Oryctolagus cuniculus: one gene and its partners. The protein of the gene in region 1 interacts with the protein of each later gene in a pairwise test. Links are inferred from orthologs where the notes say so. Each region holds a gene or a part of one and is shown on either strand. Other genes may lie near its edges.

What was found.
Region 2: the proteins of MAPK9 (region 1) and WDR62 interact in binary tests that used the Homo sapiens proteins (3 or more experiments, as listed by UniProt). The two-hybrid records come from large-scale screens. The link is inferred for Oryctolagus cuniculus from reciprocal best matches to the Homo sapiens genes MAPK9 and WDR62.
Region 3: the proteins of MAPK9 (region 1) and EFHC2 interact in binary tests that used the Homo sapiens proteins (3 or more experiments, as listed by UniProt). The two-hybrid records come from large-scale screens. The link is inferred for Oryctolagus cuniculus from reciprocal best matches to the Homo sapiens genes MAPK9 and EFHC2.

The regions. Positions count from the first base shown.
Region 1 is NC_091437.1:67,212,734-67,218,236, forward strand, and holds the start of MAPK9 (mitogen-activated protein kinase 9), read left to right. Parts: upstream 1-2,134; 5' UTR 2,135-2,328; intron 2,329-5,503. UniProt on the Homo sapiens protein: Serine/threonine-protein kinase involved in various processes such as cell proliferation, differentiation, migration, transformation and programmed cell death.
Region 2 is NC_091449.1:19,667,937-19,672,827, reverse strand, and holds part of WDR62 (WD repeat-containing protein 62), read right to left. Parts: intron 4,253-4,891; coding exon 4,200-4,252; intron 2,247-4,199; coding exon 2,028-2,246; intron 1,014-2,027; coding exon 886-1,013; intron 558-885; coding exon 454-557; intron 136-453; coding exon 37-135; intron 1-36. UniProt on the Homo sapiens protein: Required for cerebral cortical development. Plays a role in neuronal proliferation and migration.
Region 3 is NC_091453.1:30,094,527-30,099,417, reverse strand, and holds part of EFHC2 (EF-hand domain-containing family member C2), read left to right. Parts: intron 1-2,975; coding exon 2,976-3,106; intron 3,107-4,891. UniProt on the Homo sapiens protein: Microtubule inner protein (MIP) part of the dynein-decorated doublet microtubules (DMTs) in cilia axoneme, which is required for motile cilia beating.

The DNA.
Region 1 (5,503 bases):
CTTGTCTGGCAAATTCAAGTTTTGCCTTTTGTAATTTTTGGAATTAAAAAGAATATTTTTTAAAGATTTATTTTATTTGAAAGTCCCAGTTACAGAGACAGAGAGAGAAAGAGACCTTCCATTCACTGGTTCACTCCCCAAATGGCCACAATGGTCATGACTGGGCTAGGCTGAAACCAGGAGCCTCGCATGGGAGACCTGGAGGAAGCTCCTGGCTCCTGGCTTCAGATCAGCTCCCCTCCGGTCACTGCAGCCATTTGAGAAGCGAACCAGTGGATGGAAGACTTCTCTCTCTGCCTCTCCTTCTCTGTGTAATTCTTTCAAATAAATAAATCTTTTTTAAAAAATGAAATACATCAACAAGTGCTCTGGGTTAAACCAGAGCTGTCGGAGAGCTGAGTCCTTGTGCCACAAATCAGCAGTGCCAGTTCACCCTCAGGCCCACAACTCTCCAGTCCGCTTGCCCCATCGCCAGCAAGACCAGGTGACAGGTTCCTGAACATAGCACATGGCTCCTCATTGCTCAGCCTCGGGGCCCAAGTGCCCTCTCTGCCTGCCCAGCCTCTGCAGGGGCTTCCTCCTGTCTGGAAGTTCTGCTGCTGCCCCTGCTTCTCCCTGGCTGGCAGGTACGACTGGTGTCAGTCACACACATGAGTCCTGCCTGGCTCATATCACGCTTGCAGGCCTCAATCAGGATTCTCTGTGCCAGACCAGCTGCCCTGTCCCACGTCCCCCCAGCTCTGTGTCCACAAATGTCTACTGTGTTGGACAAACCAGGAATAACCAGAATTCTTACAGAAACCTCAGTGACATATGCCTAATTGCATAAGCACAGACAGCAAACTTAGGTTACTTACCGTGCACCGGGTGACTGCTAAAAACCAGGCCCAAGTGCCTCTGGAAATCCACTGTCTCTTCCCAGCCTGGGGGGATGTGTCTATGCACATTTGCTCCTTGTTGGGACCTCATCTCTGATAGCCCGGCTTTTACTAGTTTCTCATCTTTTTCAGTAACGGCAATTTTAGGTTCCCTGTTTTCTCCTGAGCAGCTAGCTGAGGCAGGTGGCAGGAGCCCACCAGATGGGTCCATTTCAATGCAGACCACGTTCAGGAGCCGGGATTAGTGATACTCAATTTTAGAAAACTCCCCCTGGCGGCCATGGGAGGACACCACGGCTAGATCCCGTTCTCTGCCCCACCCCTCCTCTGAGGCCGTGGTGCCTGCACGAGCCCGGCCCTTCAGAACCTGGGTCACAGGCTCGCTTCTCTCCCCAGATTCTGCAACACTCCACCCCAGACCTGCAGGGTCCTGCTACTCCCCCTGCTCTGTGGACCTCGGCGTCCCGGGACTGCTGCCCCAGCTCCTTACTCACCACTTATCAATCACGGTCCCCAACTCTATCGGTGCCCGAAATCCGACGCCCCTAGCCCACGACTGGCCTCGGAGCTTTTCCCTCGGGGAGCCCCGCCTCCGCCCCTCATCCCAGCTGTACTTGTCCGGTCCCTAGGGGGCCCTTCTGCTCCCCCTGAGCCCTGTCAGCCAGCACACTCCCTCCTGCTCCTGTCGGCCGGGAAGACTGGTGCACGACGGTCATCTCCTCGCACCCTGCGCCTGAACCCTGACCTTTGGCCGCACCCCTAAACCCGTCCAGTGGGGCGTGCGTGCGGCACGTCCGCAGCGAGCTGAGTCCCAGGCGCCGCGCCTCCCTCCTCCTGTCTCCTTCCAGGTCGCCTCGCTGCTGGGCGCCTGCACCTGCAGCCCCGGGGCTCGGACCCACGAGTAGCCCCGGTCCTGAGGCGCCGCGCCTCGCCTGCGGCCCATCCTCTCTCGCCTCCTCCCGGCTCGGCGTTCGGCCGCAGCTCTGCGGACCCTCTTTGCCCGGAGAGAGGGGTCATCGGGCGACCTCAGCCACGCCCGTCTCTCCAGCCCACTACACGCCGCTACACGCCGGCACTGCCCCACGCCGCCTCCGGACCCTGCACCAGACCTCGGACGCAGACCCGGCCTGGCCTGGCCCCGCCCGAGTCGCCCGACAGCGGCCCGCCCCCTAGCGCGATTGGCCGCACCCGCCGGGCTCTCCGCGCACTGATTGGTGGAGTCACGGATCGGTCAGGCCGGGCGCCGCGGCGGCGGCGGCGGCGGCGGCTGAGGGGAAGGGAGCCGACCGGAAGGGTCGAAGCGCCCCGCGCCCCTCACACCCACTGCGGCGGCGGCGGCGGGGCGGAGCGGGGCGGGGCGGGGCGGCCAGCCTAGCCGGGAGCGGCCAGCGCGCAGCGCCGCCAGTGCGCCCGCCCGCCCTCTACCCCGGCGCGGCTGCAGGGAGGCGAGGTGAGCCCGAAGGGCTGGCTAGGCCCGGCGTGGGTGCTGGGGTCGGGCGCGGCGGGGAGCGGGGTGGGCGCGGGGCCTCTGGGGCCGGGCCTCCGGGGCTGGCGGGAGCCGCGGGGTTGCTGGCGGGCCGCAGCCCCTGCCCGCCCGTGCCGCAGTCGCCCCCTCCCGCCCGCTGCCAGCGGCGAGGACCGCGGAACCTGGCCCCGCAGACCTGCCCGCGGGGGTCTGTGGCCCCCTCCTCCAGGCGGGCCGCGCAGCTGCCCTCTCGCCCCGGATGCTCGGTGGTCCCCGCGACCTTGGATTAGGCGCTGGCTGCCCCTTCGGGAAAGTGGGGCCATGTCTGATCTTCAAGACTGGGCTGTCTGTGGGAGCACCTGGACGCAAGTCTGTGCACACTGGTGGACTATAGGGCCGGATACTGCCCCTTGCTGGCGTGAGTGTGGTGGGGGCCCCCTCCCCACCCATCCTGTGCCTTGTCATTGCGCGCCCAGTGCTCAGCTACGCGGAGCAGGCCCTGCCCACCACAGCTCTTCCCCAGAGCACTGCTCCCTGGGCCCGCTAATCCTCCCACCTGCCAGGAACTTGCTAACCTCCGTGTCCCCGGGACTTTGCACCTGCTGCCTCTCCTGTTTACGTCGCGTCCAGGACCTTTTTGTTCCTTGCTCTGTCCAGATGTCTCATTTTCAGCGAGGCCTTCCTCGGCTACCCTCTGCAAGGGATCATTCTGTCTTGTTATTTTGTTTCATTTTCTTCCTAGCACTCTGAGTTGAAACTGTTCTATTTATTTGCCTCTCCTTTTCTGTCTTCCCCCACTAGGCTGTAGCTTTCTGTAAACAGGTAGTTGTCTGATTTGTCTGCTTTCTCCTGGTACTTATAGAAAGCATACAGTAAGTATTTGATAGTCTCAGTTCAGCGAATGAATGAATGATGTAAGGAGCGTGCCTACCTGTTGTCTCTGCTTTACCTGTTCATTTAGTGACTTCTGAGTGACTTGTGAAACTCGGAAGCTTGTTCTCATTTTGTAGAACATCTTAACGTCCTTGACCTCTTTATTTGGTAACTATGGTAACGAGCTATGATATAAAATGTTACATCTTTATAATGGTTTAGCTCTAACGACCTCCTAGTAAATCCAGGAGACAGCCACTGAATTCTCCATTATCTAGGTCATGCTTTTTGCTGGGCCCTAGGGACACAAAGGAGAGAGCGACAGGGTCCCTTCCCCCAGAGAGCCTGGGAGCCCCGTGGAAAAGGCATGACGCACAGGGTTGGTTCCAGGACAGTGGATGATGCCTGCGGAAGGGTGGAGCAACAGGTGGTGCTGGTGGGCCTCCACGCTTGCCAGGCCAGGAGAGGTGCAAAGAGTGTGAAAGGGCAGGGCCAAGGAAGGAACCTAACGCTGTGTGGCGTTGGCCAGGTGTGGGAGCGTGTAGTGGTGGGGACCCTGGAGGAGGAGCCCCTCGCCCAGCAATTTTCTAAAAGAAGCTTCAATCCACAGTTGCACCTGCACTCTCCTGATTTCTCAATATTGGCAGTAGCTGTTTGTTGTTGTTGTTGTTGTTGTGAGCCTAGCCAAATACAGACCTCATTCAGCCTGGTTGCGGGATTGTGGTCCTCCAGGACGGACTGTGGGTGGGAGCCCGGCCTGCTCAGGTGCTTACTGAATTGTCCCTGGGGCCCTGGAAGGAGCAGCGAAGACACCTGTTTTCACAGAGGAAGAAAAGCCCAGAGTCCCTGCTCTGCAGCACAATCCCTCACAAGACGATGCTTCCCTGGGGCCCCCAGCCCTGCCTGTGCTCCTCTGGCTTCTAATTCGTTCTGAAACAACAACACTCAATCTGTGTAATGCTTTCCTCCATTTAACCTTTTATTCTCTTCAGAAGTAACCAGTGGGGTTAAAAAAAATCCTATTTTGGCATAGACTTCTGTGGAAAGCTTTCATTTGCCTGAGGATTTAACTTTCAGGATCCTGGGACTTTAAAATAATTTAGTGAAAGGGCATAACTTTGAAATAAGTGTTAAAGAGTAGAATTGAATGTTTCTATTTAAAATAAAATCAGGTTTCTGGCTAAAATATCAGGCAAAGTGATTGTTAGTAACCAGTTATTCCCTGATGTCTCAGGTAACCTAGAAGTCAGGGATTTTTCTTAAGAAGTGCTGATTTGGCTGCAAGGCAACTATTTTTGGTCTAAATATGTACCTGGACTTCACACTTGGCAAGAAAGTTTCCATTTTTATATTTTTATCGTTAATTCTTTTTTTTAAAGATTTATTTTTATTTATTTGAAAGAGTTACAGAGAGAGGTAGAGACAGAGAGAGAGGACTTGGGCCATCTGCCACTGCTTTCCCAGGCCACAGCAGAGAGCTGGATGGGAATTGGAACAGCCGGGTCTCGAACCGACACCCATATGGGATGCTGGCACTGCAGGCCAGGGTGTTAACCTGCTGCACCACAGCGCTGGCTCCCACCTAATAATTAATTCTTAATCATTTGTACTTGATTGTATGAACAAGGTTTCAGCATTAGTCTTTTAACTGTTTATGATAGTGACTCTGAAAAGACACAAAAAGAACGGTATCCAGCTTCAACAGTTAGAAACCCTGGCTGATTTTGCCTCATTGGTAGCCTCTTATCTGTACACAGTTACCTCCCGTATTTTTAAACAAATCCTAAGTGTTATTTCACCCATGAGTTTTTCATTATATACTTGTATATCACTAAGAGGTAGGGACCCGAGGCTGGTGTGGAGGGTAAAGCTGCTGCCTGTGACGCCGGCATCCCGTATGGGCACTGATTCGAGTTCCTGGCTGCTCCACTTCTGATCCAGCTCCCTGCTCATGGTCTGGGAAAAGCAGCAGAAGATGGCCCAAGTGCATGGGCCTCTGCCACCCATGTGGGAGATGTGGATGAAACTCCTGGCTTCCACCTCGCCTAGCCTGGGCAGTTGTGGCTATTTGGGGATGAACCAGCAAGTCAGACTCAGGGTGCACTCCTGTGCCCTGGCCTCCTGAGATAAGCTGGGCTCTTCCCTCTGGAGGTGGCAAGAATCGTGTCTATCCCCATTTCTCAAATGGCTGCAGGCATGTGCTCTGGCTCACTCAGATCAGTAGCAGACCCACAGGGGATCTGACTCTTGCATCCTGATTTTAACCATTGCCCCATACATTTTTTTT
Region 2 (4,891 bases), on another chromosome or scaffold:
CCAGGCCCTGGGCTTCCCTGTATGGCCCCTGCTCACCTCGTGAGTGGGGCGTCGTTCCGGCACAGCGAGGCCCTGGCTCGGGCCGAGGAGGGGAGGCCTGGCTGCACTCCACATCACTGTCTGACTCCCCCGAATCTGCAGAAGCAGAGCACAGGGTCAGAGGCCCCCAGTGCCCACACCGGGTGAGCCAGGGCATGTGGGCATCGGTTTCCCCATCTGGAGAATGGGGACAGTGACAGCAGCCACCCCTATTTTTCTGAGCCAGGGAAGTTGCGTGGCGAGGAGGGGGCAGAGCTGGGTTCTCAGCGGGAGCAGGGCTCCAGAACCCTCAGGCAATGGCAGGAACCATGTCTGTCTTCTTAGGGCAGGTGGGTCAAGGTCACCATCAGTACCCAGGAAGGAGCCTGCTGGCGGAACAGACTGTCAGAAGGTCCTTGCCTGCTCCACACTCACCCTCGGGTGGGCTCTGATCCTTCAAGCTGATGGAAGAGACCCTGAGGTAGGAGTCAGCGAGCTGGTCTCCAGGCCCTGCCTCGGCCTCCTTCTCGAAGGACTCGCTGCAAGGCCGCGTGAGTGGGGTGAGGAATGACTTACACTGGCGAGCAAACACCTGGTCCCACCCAGAGCCTGGGCACCAGCACCCTGCTCGACCACGAGCCCTCTCTTGGCTTCTCCCGTCTCCCCCTGTGCTCCCTTCCCGTGCTGCACCCCACCTGGAGCCAGCAAAGCCAAGGCTGCAGTTGTGACCCCTTCCTGCCCATCCAGGCCTCAGCCCTCTCCCTCGGCGGTCTCCATGCCATGGCCCCAGGGAGAGGCCTCTGTGCGCCCCTCAGCAGGGGGCTCCTCTCTCCAACTACAGCTCCCTGCAGTGTGGAGGCCACTCACCTGTCTGTCCCCGGGACTGGCACCTCTGCCTCCAGGGAGTAGATGAAGAGCTCGCTGGCCTCCGCTGGCTCCCTCTGTGGTGGCAGGAAGGGGCGCTGCCCGCAGCCGTCCTCGCGGGGGCTCTCTGACTGTGGGGGGAGGGGGCGCAGCCTCCTGAGGCCGCTGTGCAGCCGGGCCTCTGCAGGCCACCCAGCATTAGGCCAGCTAAGGCCTAGGAGGAAGCTGCCCGGGGCCTCAGCCTCGGACAGAGCCAGGACCTGTGCCAAGAGCCCTGCTCCCTGACCTGGTCCTGTGCTTCCCCTGCACTGTCGGCCCTATGGCTCTACCCTCTAGGAATCCACTTAGATCAAGTTCAAGAACGAGCAGGCCAAACCAAGGTGAGAGGCTGGAATACTGGCTACCTTGAGCTAGGGGAGGGGCACCAGGGGTCTCCTAGGAGGCAGAAAATACTCGGTTTTGACCGCGGTAGTCGATACATGGGAATCACCCAGGGAGTCCACCGAGCTCTGTGCCTCGTCGGTGCGTTACTGCATGTGGACAAGGGGGCTTCGGAAAGGGCACAGAAATGCATATTATGAAAAAAGCTACGCGTGGACTTCCTTTTTTTTTTTTTTTTTTGCACCCTAATCAACTTACTATTTAATTCCATTTGTTGACAAACTTTTGGAAGTTTCCTTGTCTTGCACCATAATGAAGAAGAAAACCGCACAGCGCGCTAAAAAGTTCTGCTTGGAAAACAACAGAGCTACAGCTGCTGGGGCCCGGCCCTGCTCCTGGTGCTGGCTTCCTGCAGAAGCCCTCTGAGGCACAGGAGAACCTAAAGCCCAGAGAGGCAAAGCCTCTTACTCCAGGTCACACAGCCAGGAAAGGGAGGGCTCAGGGCTCCATCGACTCAAATGCCCCTCACTCAGATACAGAGGGGCTGGGCTGCTCTAGGGCCATGCTCTTAGACCCAAAGCACCTACTTCCTGAAGGCTCCTGGTCTATCCTGGGAGGTCTCACTGTGCAACAGACCTGGGGCTCCCCGTCCTGTCCTCTCCACACCTCTGGAGTCAAAGTAAGAGACCCCCCGGCCCCACGTCCTGGGTGGGCAGCCGTAGCGCAGAGGCTGCAGGCAGGGCTGGGGTGGGCGGGCTCCGTACCTCGCTCAGCAGACCTGCCAGGTTCTGTGGCTCCACCGTGTCCAGAATGGAGTCGTCCAGGCTCTCGGCCTTCATGGGGGTAAAGTAGCAATCCAGCTCCCGCACATCCAGGATCGTCTTGAGGGGCTCCTGGCCAGCCCGTTCCGCCCAGCGGCCGTGGGGCTGGTAGCTGCGCTTGGGGTGGAAGGCCGAGCCGTCCGCCACATCGTCATCTCCTAGCTTGAGGGAAAGGGGAAGGTCAGGCAGCAGCCCTGCTCACCAGCTCCAGTGAGGACCACGGACACTGCGCAGGCCGCAGCCATTTGCAGACAACTTCAGGCTGAACTGCACACGCACTGCTCTGCGTCCCTGCACGCACGTTCGGCTACGTTTCAATTAGCTAACGTGTTGAAAACTCCTGATTTTTGTCCCGGGCCTGCTCTTCCTAAAGGCTCCCCTACCTCAGCCATTCTTTCCAGTTGCTGAGCCCCCTCATTCCTCGCTTGTTCTGTACACCGTATTTCAGCTGAAAATCCTGTTAGCCCCGCCAGACAAACACTTCCAGAACATGGGTGTGCTCGCTCTGGTCCTGTGAATCCACTACTCCTCCCAACACTCTGGATGGACAGACTGCAGAGGACACAGGCTCTGAGCCAGCCCACCCCACCCAGGGTCAATCTCACACCTGAGTCCTAGGTATAAGACTCTGGGCCTCAGCTTCCCCAGTTGATGTGGGGCTAAGAAGAGCCCCTACAAGGGCCGGTGCTGTGGATAGCGGGTTAAGCCACCATCTGCAATGCTGGTATCCCATATGGGCACCAGTTCGAGTCCTGGCTGCTACTCTTCCAATCCAGCTCCCTGATAATGGCTTGGGAAAAGCAGTGGAAGATGACCCAAGCGCTTGGGCCCCTGCACCCATTGGGAGACCCGGAAGAAGCTCCCGAGTCCTGGGTTTGGCCTTGCCCAGTCCTGGCTGTTGCAGCCATCTTGGGAGTGAACCGGCAGATGGAAGATCTCTGCCTCTCTTCTCTCTATATAACTCTTTCAAATAGACAAATAAATCATTAAAAAGAGAGAAGAGCCCTACTCGGCGAGGTGTAAATGGGCTGACCTAGTGAGAGGCTCAGCACCACGGAGCTGCCGAACATCATTCCCGCTGTTACCCGGGCTGGGCAGGGAAATGTCAGGGCCTGAGTGGGCGGAACCAGGCGCCCTGACCTGGCCCGCAGAGGGAGACTTCCCTGAGGAGCTGGCACCGAGGCCAGGACCTGAAATATGACATCGTTCCTGAAACAAACTCCAAACCTAGAGTGTGCCGCCAGCTTCTAACCCATCAGCTCCCAGCTGGCTCCTCTCCAGGGCCAACAATTGTTGATTCAATCTTAAGGCCACCTTGGTCCTTCTCTATCCCTCACAACCAGCTGTTCCCCTCTGAAGTCCACCTAGAATCCCACCCTTTCTTGCTGCTCCAGCCTCTTCGCCTGGATGACAGCAGCAGCCTCCCACCCCCACTCCCCACCCCAGCCCTCAGTGTTTGCCACCTGCGGCCTCGGCACCTGTCAGCCCTGAGTTGGATCCAAGCCTCCCTTGGCCCCAGCTCATCCAGGGGCACAGGGAGGAGTAGGGCAGGACAACAGGGCGTGTCCTGGGAGCTCATGGAGCTCTTCTCCCCACTCCATCCCGGGGGCACCCCCAGCCTCCCTGCTCCTCCCGGAACGTTCTCAGTACAGTCCTGCCTCCTGGCCTTGGCAGTGCCCTGAGCTGCACGCCTCGCTTGCTCCAGCTCTGCTCAGATGTCCTCCTCCCTCAAGACCCTTTCTTCTTCCCCTAAAACTGCCCTCCTCCACTCTGCTTCTCGGAGTCTTTTTCTTCCACAGCGTTGATGAGCTCCCAGCATGCTGAGCAGCACTTATATTTCCCACGACACTGTCCCTCTCCGACATCACAAGTAAGCCGTGAAGGGAGGGGCTGCCTGCCCTGCTCACTGCTCTACCTCCGAAAACCAGAACAGCACCCGGCACCGTGCGTGGGAATCGCATGAGCGCAGAGCTGTCCAGGCCGGCGCTGCGGGGCTGATGGCATGCTCCGGCCGCAGAGAGACGGAGAGAGGGAATGACGACCCGGAGGACAGCAAGGTGCGGGCAGGGCCCCTCCTCTGCCCGCCCCAGGCGTTCCACTCCCCAGGAGACTCACCAGCCGCTTTGCCCAAAGTGGCAGCTTGCCGTTAGTCAGCAGGCAGCGAGGATCTGGAGAGACACAAGGAATCCATGGGAGTAGGACCAACAGCCTGGCAGACAAACGGGCAACGTGCACAGGTGGGCGGCTTCCCAAAGAGGCGGCACAGGAACTCACAGATCGAAAGGTGCTCAACCTCACTAATTGCCAAGGAATGCAAATTTAAACAATAGAATATAATGCTGTACTCGTAAGCCTGACCAAGATTAAAATACTTAACACTGCTGAATGTTGACAAAAAGTAGGGGGGGTGGAGGGCCCGGCACGGCGATGCATGGAGCAGTAATTGGATTTGGAGAGCTCTTGGGGTTCTCTCAAAAAAATAAGCCAACTCTTGGGTGGTGCTAAGAGAGGGCAGGCAGGTGGGTGAGCTGCTTCTGAGAGGAAGGAGAGAACAATCCCCAGGCTCTAAGACAGCTAATGGACATAAATAACACGATGTGTTCCCGGGCTATGTCCAAAGGCATATTAAGTTCAGGAAAATTCACACCAGACTGGTACGGGGTCAACCGGAGAGGACACCAGACTGGGCATGAGGGTGGCCACAGGCATTACGGACGAGCTCACTTTGTAACGTTCGCCTCTCTGAGGCTAAACTCTCACACCGCTGTTGCCCAGGAGGCAGATCCCCAGGCAGCCCCTGCCTGTGT
Region 3 (4,891 bases), on another chromosome or scaffold:
TCTTGACTTGCCTCCCAGCCTTCTTCAATGTGTGTTTTTCTTTCTCTATGGTCTTTTTTTGTTGGTCTTGCCACTAGTTTTACATTGTGCATTCACACATGTGGGCATGAATAATGGATCCATGCAACTTGGCCACAGGTCTCATCACAGAGGCCAGGTCCTTGTGTACTCTGTTTATATGCTGGGCTCTCTACTGCTCAGCATCACGGATTCCAGGCACAGGCAGGAGGCAGGCCCGGGCTGAATCAAGTTTCCTGGGTTTTCTGCTGACACTAACAGTGTTTTCAGAATGAAGTTAAATAACTATAGGAAAGCAAGAAAAGCTGATGCCACACACTGTGCCATCCAGTTAATTGGCAAAGGCCAACAGAAAAGGCTGAGACCTAAACAAACAGAAACCCCAAGGGAATCTGATAGTTGCTGGCGTTGCAACTTCCTCTAACAGTGACCATCTAAAGGCCTAAGTCAGAGGTTAAGGAGAGATTGCCAATAGTGAACTCAAAGATTTTTTTATTTGAAATAAGATGAAAAAAGTTAAAAAAGGAAATAAGAGAGCAGATGGGCACTATTACTAAATATGCTATTATGTCAATGCTGATCAGGAAAAAACATATTGATAAAAATCTTTATGTTAAGTGTAGACTCATTCAGTGTGCAAACATGTATTTGGCAATCATTGTCTAATATTGAAAAATCTACCTGGAAAAAAATTTATCTTAAAACTCTACCTGTAAGTCATGATACTTAGGTACATTTTTATATATACACATGATACCAATATTGCCTCATTTATGTATAAAAAATTCTCAGGTTGCTAAGATTGCTAAGTTGCTAGGATTAGTCTCTTGCTGTAGATCCCATCACCTCTGTTAGTTTGGATCCCCTGAGAAGCAGATGCCAAGATAGAACTAGGTGTGTAAGAGATGTATTGGGTGAAATGCCTCAGAAGAATAGAGGAGGAGGCCCACAGATGTGGAGGCTGAAGAGCCTTTAGACTGGGGTGCAGATCTGACCCCTGTGAAAAGAGAGGGGAGGGAAGGAGCGGGGGTAGGGAAAACCTCAGCTGGCAACCTAGCTCTGAGAAAGTCCCAGCTAGGTCAATAGGGAGCCCCAGAGCAAAGAGTGCCCATCAGAGAGGTCCCACATCAAGCAGGAGAGGGCCAGCTCTAGTGTTGGCACCCCTCCCCCACATCACCCTGGCCCTTGTGCTCAGTCAGTGAGTAAGAACAACCCGGCACTGTGTGTGAATCCTGTGTGTGTCCGTCTGGAAGGTAAGGCAGCTGGAGGCTGCCAACTAACAATGCTCTTCATTGCAGGGGCTCTTGACAGGAGGCCTGAGCAGTACCCTTCGTGGCTGCCACACCATCTCTCCACGTGTGGTGTTAGGGATTCAGGTTATCATAAAGCCATGAACCAGTGGCTGTTTGAAAACACTGAAATGAGGCAAGAAGTTTAGTGCTCCAGCTGTTAGAGTCTGGAGACCAGCAGGCCTGGCTTGGAACCCTGCCTGATACCACACTTAATAGCTGGGACGTTAGGCAGTATCTTCTTTGGGCTTCAATTTCCTCATCCTTGAAATAGGAATGACAAGAATGCCTATTTCATAGAGCTGCTGTGAAGATTAGATATGATTATGTGGCCCACAGCAAGCTCAGTCAGTGTAGCCATTATAAATTTGGGTTCTGTTTTCAAACAGAAGGTGAACCTATACTTTAATACATCCTGAGGACCCTCGGGATGCCTGGGCTTAAATGTGTTGACTTGTCATAGTGCTAAAGCAGTATGCATTCAGTAGAAGCTGGACTTTGAGTATTGAATTTGGATCTTGTCCTGGGCTAGTGCGCTGTGATTAGATCTTTGCTTGTTATGCTGGGCAGTGGCAGCGAGCACAGCTCCCAGTCAGCCTCGTGGTTGCTAATCTAAGATGTTTGCTAGATTGGGTATATTAAATGCATTTCCAAGTTCCCATTAGAAGTTGTGTAGCATCTGTATGTAGTTTTGTGTGTGTGTGTGTGTGTATATGCACACACACACACATATATATCTTTTAAGATATTAAGGACTTTTCTCCTTTCAGAATGATAAAAGCATGGTAGGACATTATCTGTTATCAGCACCCCAAGTGAAAATTGTATTATTTTAAAACTACTTTTAACAAGGTTATTCTAAGCAGAGAAAGATTAATATACCCTTTAATATCAGTTTGAAGAGTCTTTTCAAAAGAGCTAATAGATCCTATCATGGAAATAGATGAAAGGAAATGCGAAAAAAGCAGAGGGAGTGGGGGCTGCACTAGGCGCCAAACCACCTGGATCATTTTCTGTGGAAGAGAGGCAGCTTTATACTAAATCACCACCAATGTTTTTAGTTTAAAATTTCATCTCCCCATTTTTGGTCTCTTAGCTATAATTATTTACAACCTTATGCTTTCCTGGATTTAATAAGGAGTATTCTTAGTCAAAAAGCTAATCACAAGGTAGGAGACAGCTGAACAGGGATTACAGTGCCTGTGTAGATCTTTGACACCTAGCCTTGCTCCGATCAGTGCGTCACCTGGTGGCCAGCAATTCCAGGGAGGCCCATTGTGAAGGTCTATAGAAAAGAGAGATTCATAGATCCGACTTTGAATCCCCGTTCTCTCCATTAGGGTCTCTGAACATACTAGGCCGATGGCCAAGGGTTACAAGGAGGACGCTGAAGTGGAAGCAGGGCTTGATTTCTGATCTCTATGACTTGCTGTCCCTCAAGCTCATTTCTCTCCGATCTGAGACCTATGCTAATGTCATCCATTGTCCTAAAGCCTTAACTGAGGTGATACAAAGCTCATCATGTCTTCTCGCTGTTGGGCTGTATGGAAAGACATGTCCAGCTAACTTCAGGTTCACAGGGCGATGTCTCCTTGCTGGCCACGAGAAAGATTTGGCCCCCTGAAATCTCAGGCATATTTAAAATTGTCTTTCATTTCTCTCTTCTAGTTTCCATTTAGCAACCTTGAATTTGCCCTACAAAAGCTGAAAGAACTAGAACCGAGATCCAAAGAGATCAAGCAGATATTTGCAGCTGCTGACTCTGAACACACGAAGATACTGGATTTTAGTACATTTAGGTAAGCCATAGTCTGCTAGCAATATTCTGTCTTCCCATCAAGATTGTCTAATGAGCACAAGGAAGTTTCTTTTCTAGTGCTTCCTAATTAATGAACTACATGCTTTCTATTAGCAATTGGCATTTCTTTGCATTCATATTACTTTGTGGTCAAATTTTGGCCATTAATATCCTAATAAGTTTTATGCATTCACATGTAAGAATGTTTATATGTGGGAACAGGGAGACAGAAATGTAGAAAGTCAGTTAGTGACTTTGTTTTGTGAATCGTGGTGTTGAAGGATCGGGGAATGCCAGCAATGGTACATCTAAGTGAGAAAGAAGAAAATGCAACTTAGAGCAACCCTCTGAAAACTTGAGAGACATCTCTCTAGGAATGCTGTCAAGTTGGAAAAAAATAGTAGAAACTTTACTGACTCAGAGCAAAGGGCATATGTGTGCATCTGTGCGCATGTACAAAGGGAGTTCAGAAAGTTCATGGGAAATGGAATTAAAAGATGTTTCATTTGGTACAAAAATTTTTTAAGTACATGAATAATTTTTTCATAATATGCCCCTACATATTTATGGACACGTGTGTATTCTCAGCAAGAAAAAATACAGGAATCCAAGGGAAAATATATCACAGTAGTTAGAAATGCTATAAGAAATCATCAACAGTAAGGATTTTCTCTAAGGTAAAGCTGAATTCTGGGACTATCCAGTGGCTGACCTGGGCAAATTTCCAAAAAGTGGAAACACAGGGAAATTCAAATTCAGGATCTAGTACAATTGTGAGACTTCTTAGCCTAAAAACGTAGTGAATGGGGCGTTCAGGAGAATGTAAATTAAATCATGGATGGGGAGGACAAAGGGGACTTTCTCTTTAGACTGAGAATTCTGGCTGCTGAAAACAATAGTGGCTAGAAGCTGTATAGCAAACGGGTTGATGCAGTCAGGATGTGGGCTGAGAAATGAGGAAGGGAGCCCAGGCAAGGGCTGCAGGGAGCTCTTTTTTGCTTGGTGTCTACAGTTTTGTTGCATCACTACCTGATGGCTTAGGGCCCACCATCAAGCCAGGAATGTCCTCAGAGCTTGTTTGTTGTTAACAACGCCCTTTTGTGTCTCTAAAATATTCTTTTCAGAAAAGCAGGCAGAGGACATATTTTTATTGTTTAGAATCCCCAACCTTCTGGGATCAGTAAGGATTTATAGTTCTTGGTTATTGTTCATAGTCATATTCACATATTCATGGTGTTTTAGAAAATAAATGGAGACAGAGTAAAGAGCAAAGAAATATTAGATGTGGGCCAATGGAAAACAGTGGAGGGAAAAACAAGAAATTTCCATCAGAAGTGTGGGAGTGGTTTTGTTTTGTTATCTTCTGTCCTCTTATAAAAGCATCTGTTCTCCCAACACTCTTGCAAAGTCTACTGGAAATACCTCAGTGAGTTTATGGGACTTTTTGGGAAGCACTTAGGCCAGGTGGGAGATCTAAGACCCTTCTTGTATGGTTGGGATAAAGGGCAACCACACTAGAGCAAAATTCCCTATTCCAGGAATTCCTTAGGATGAAAATCAGGCTGGCGCTGTGGCGTAGTAGGCTAAGCCTCTGCATGTGGCGCCGGCATCCCATATGGGTGCTGGTTTGTATCCCGGCTGCTCCTCTTCTGATCCAGTTCTCTGTCTATGGTGTGGGAAAGCAGTAGAAGATGACCCAAGTCCTTGGGCCCCTGTACCCATGTGGGGGACCTGGAAGAAGCTCCTGGCTTTGGATCGGCCCAGCTCTGGCCATTGCAGCCATTTG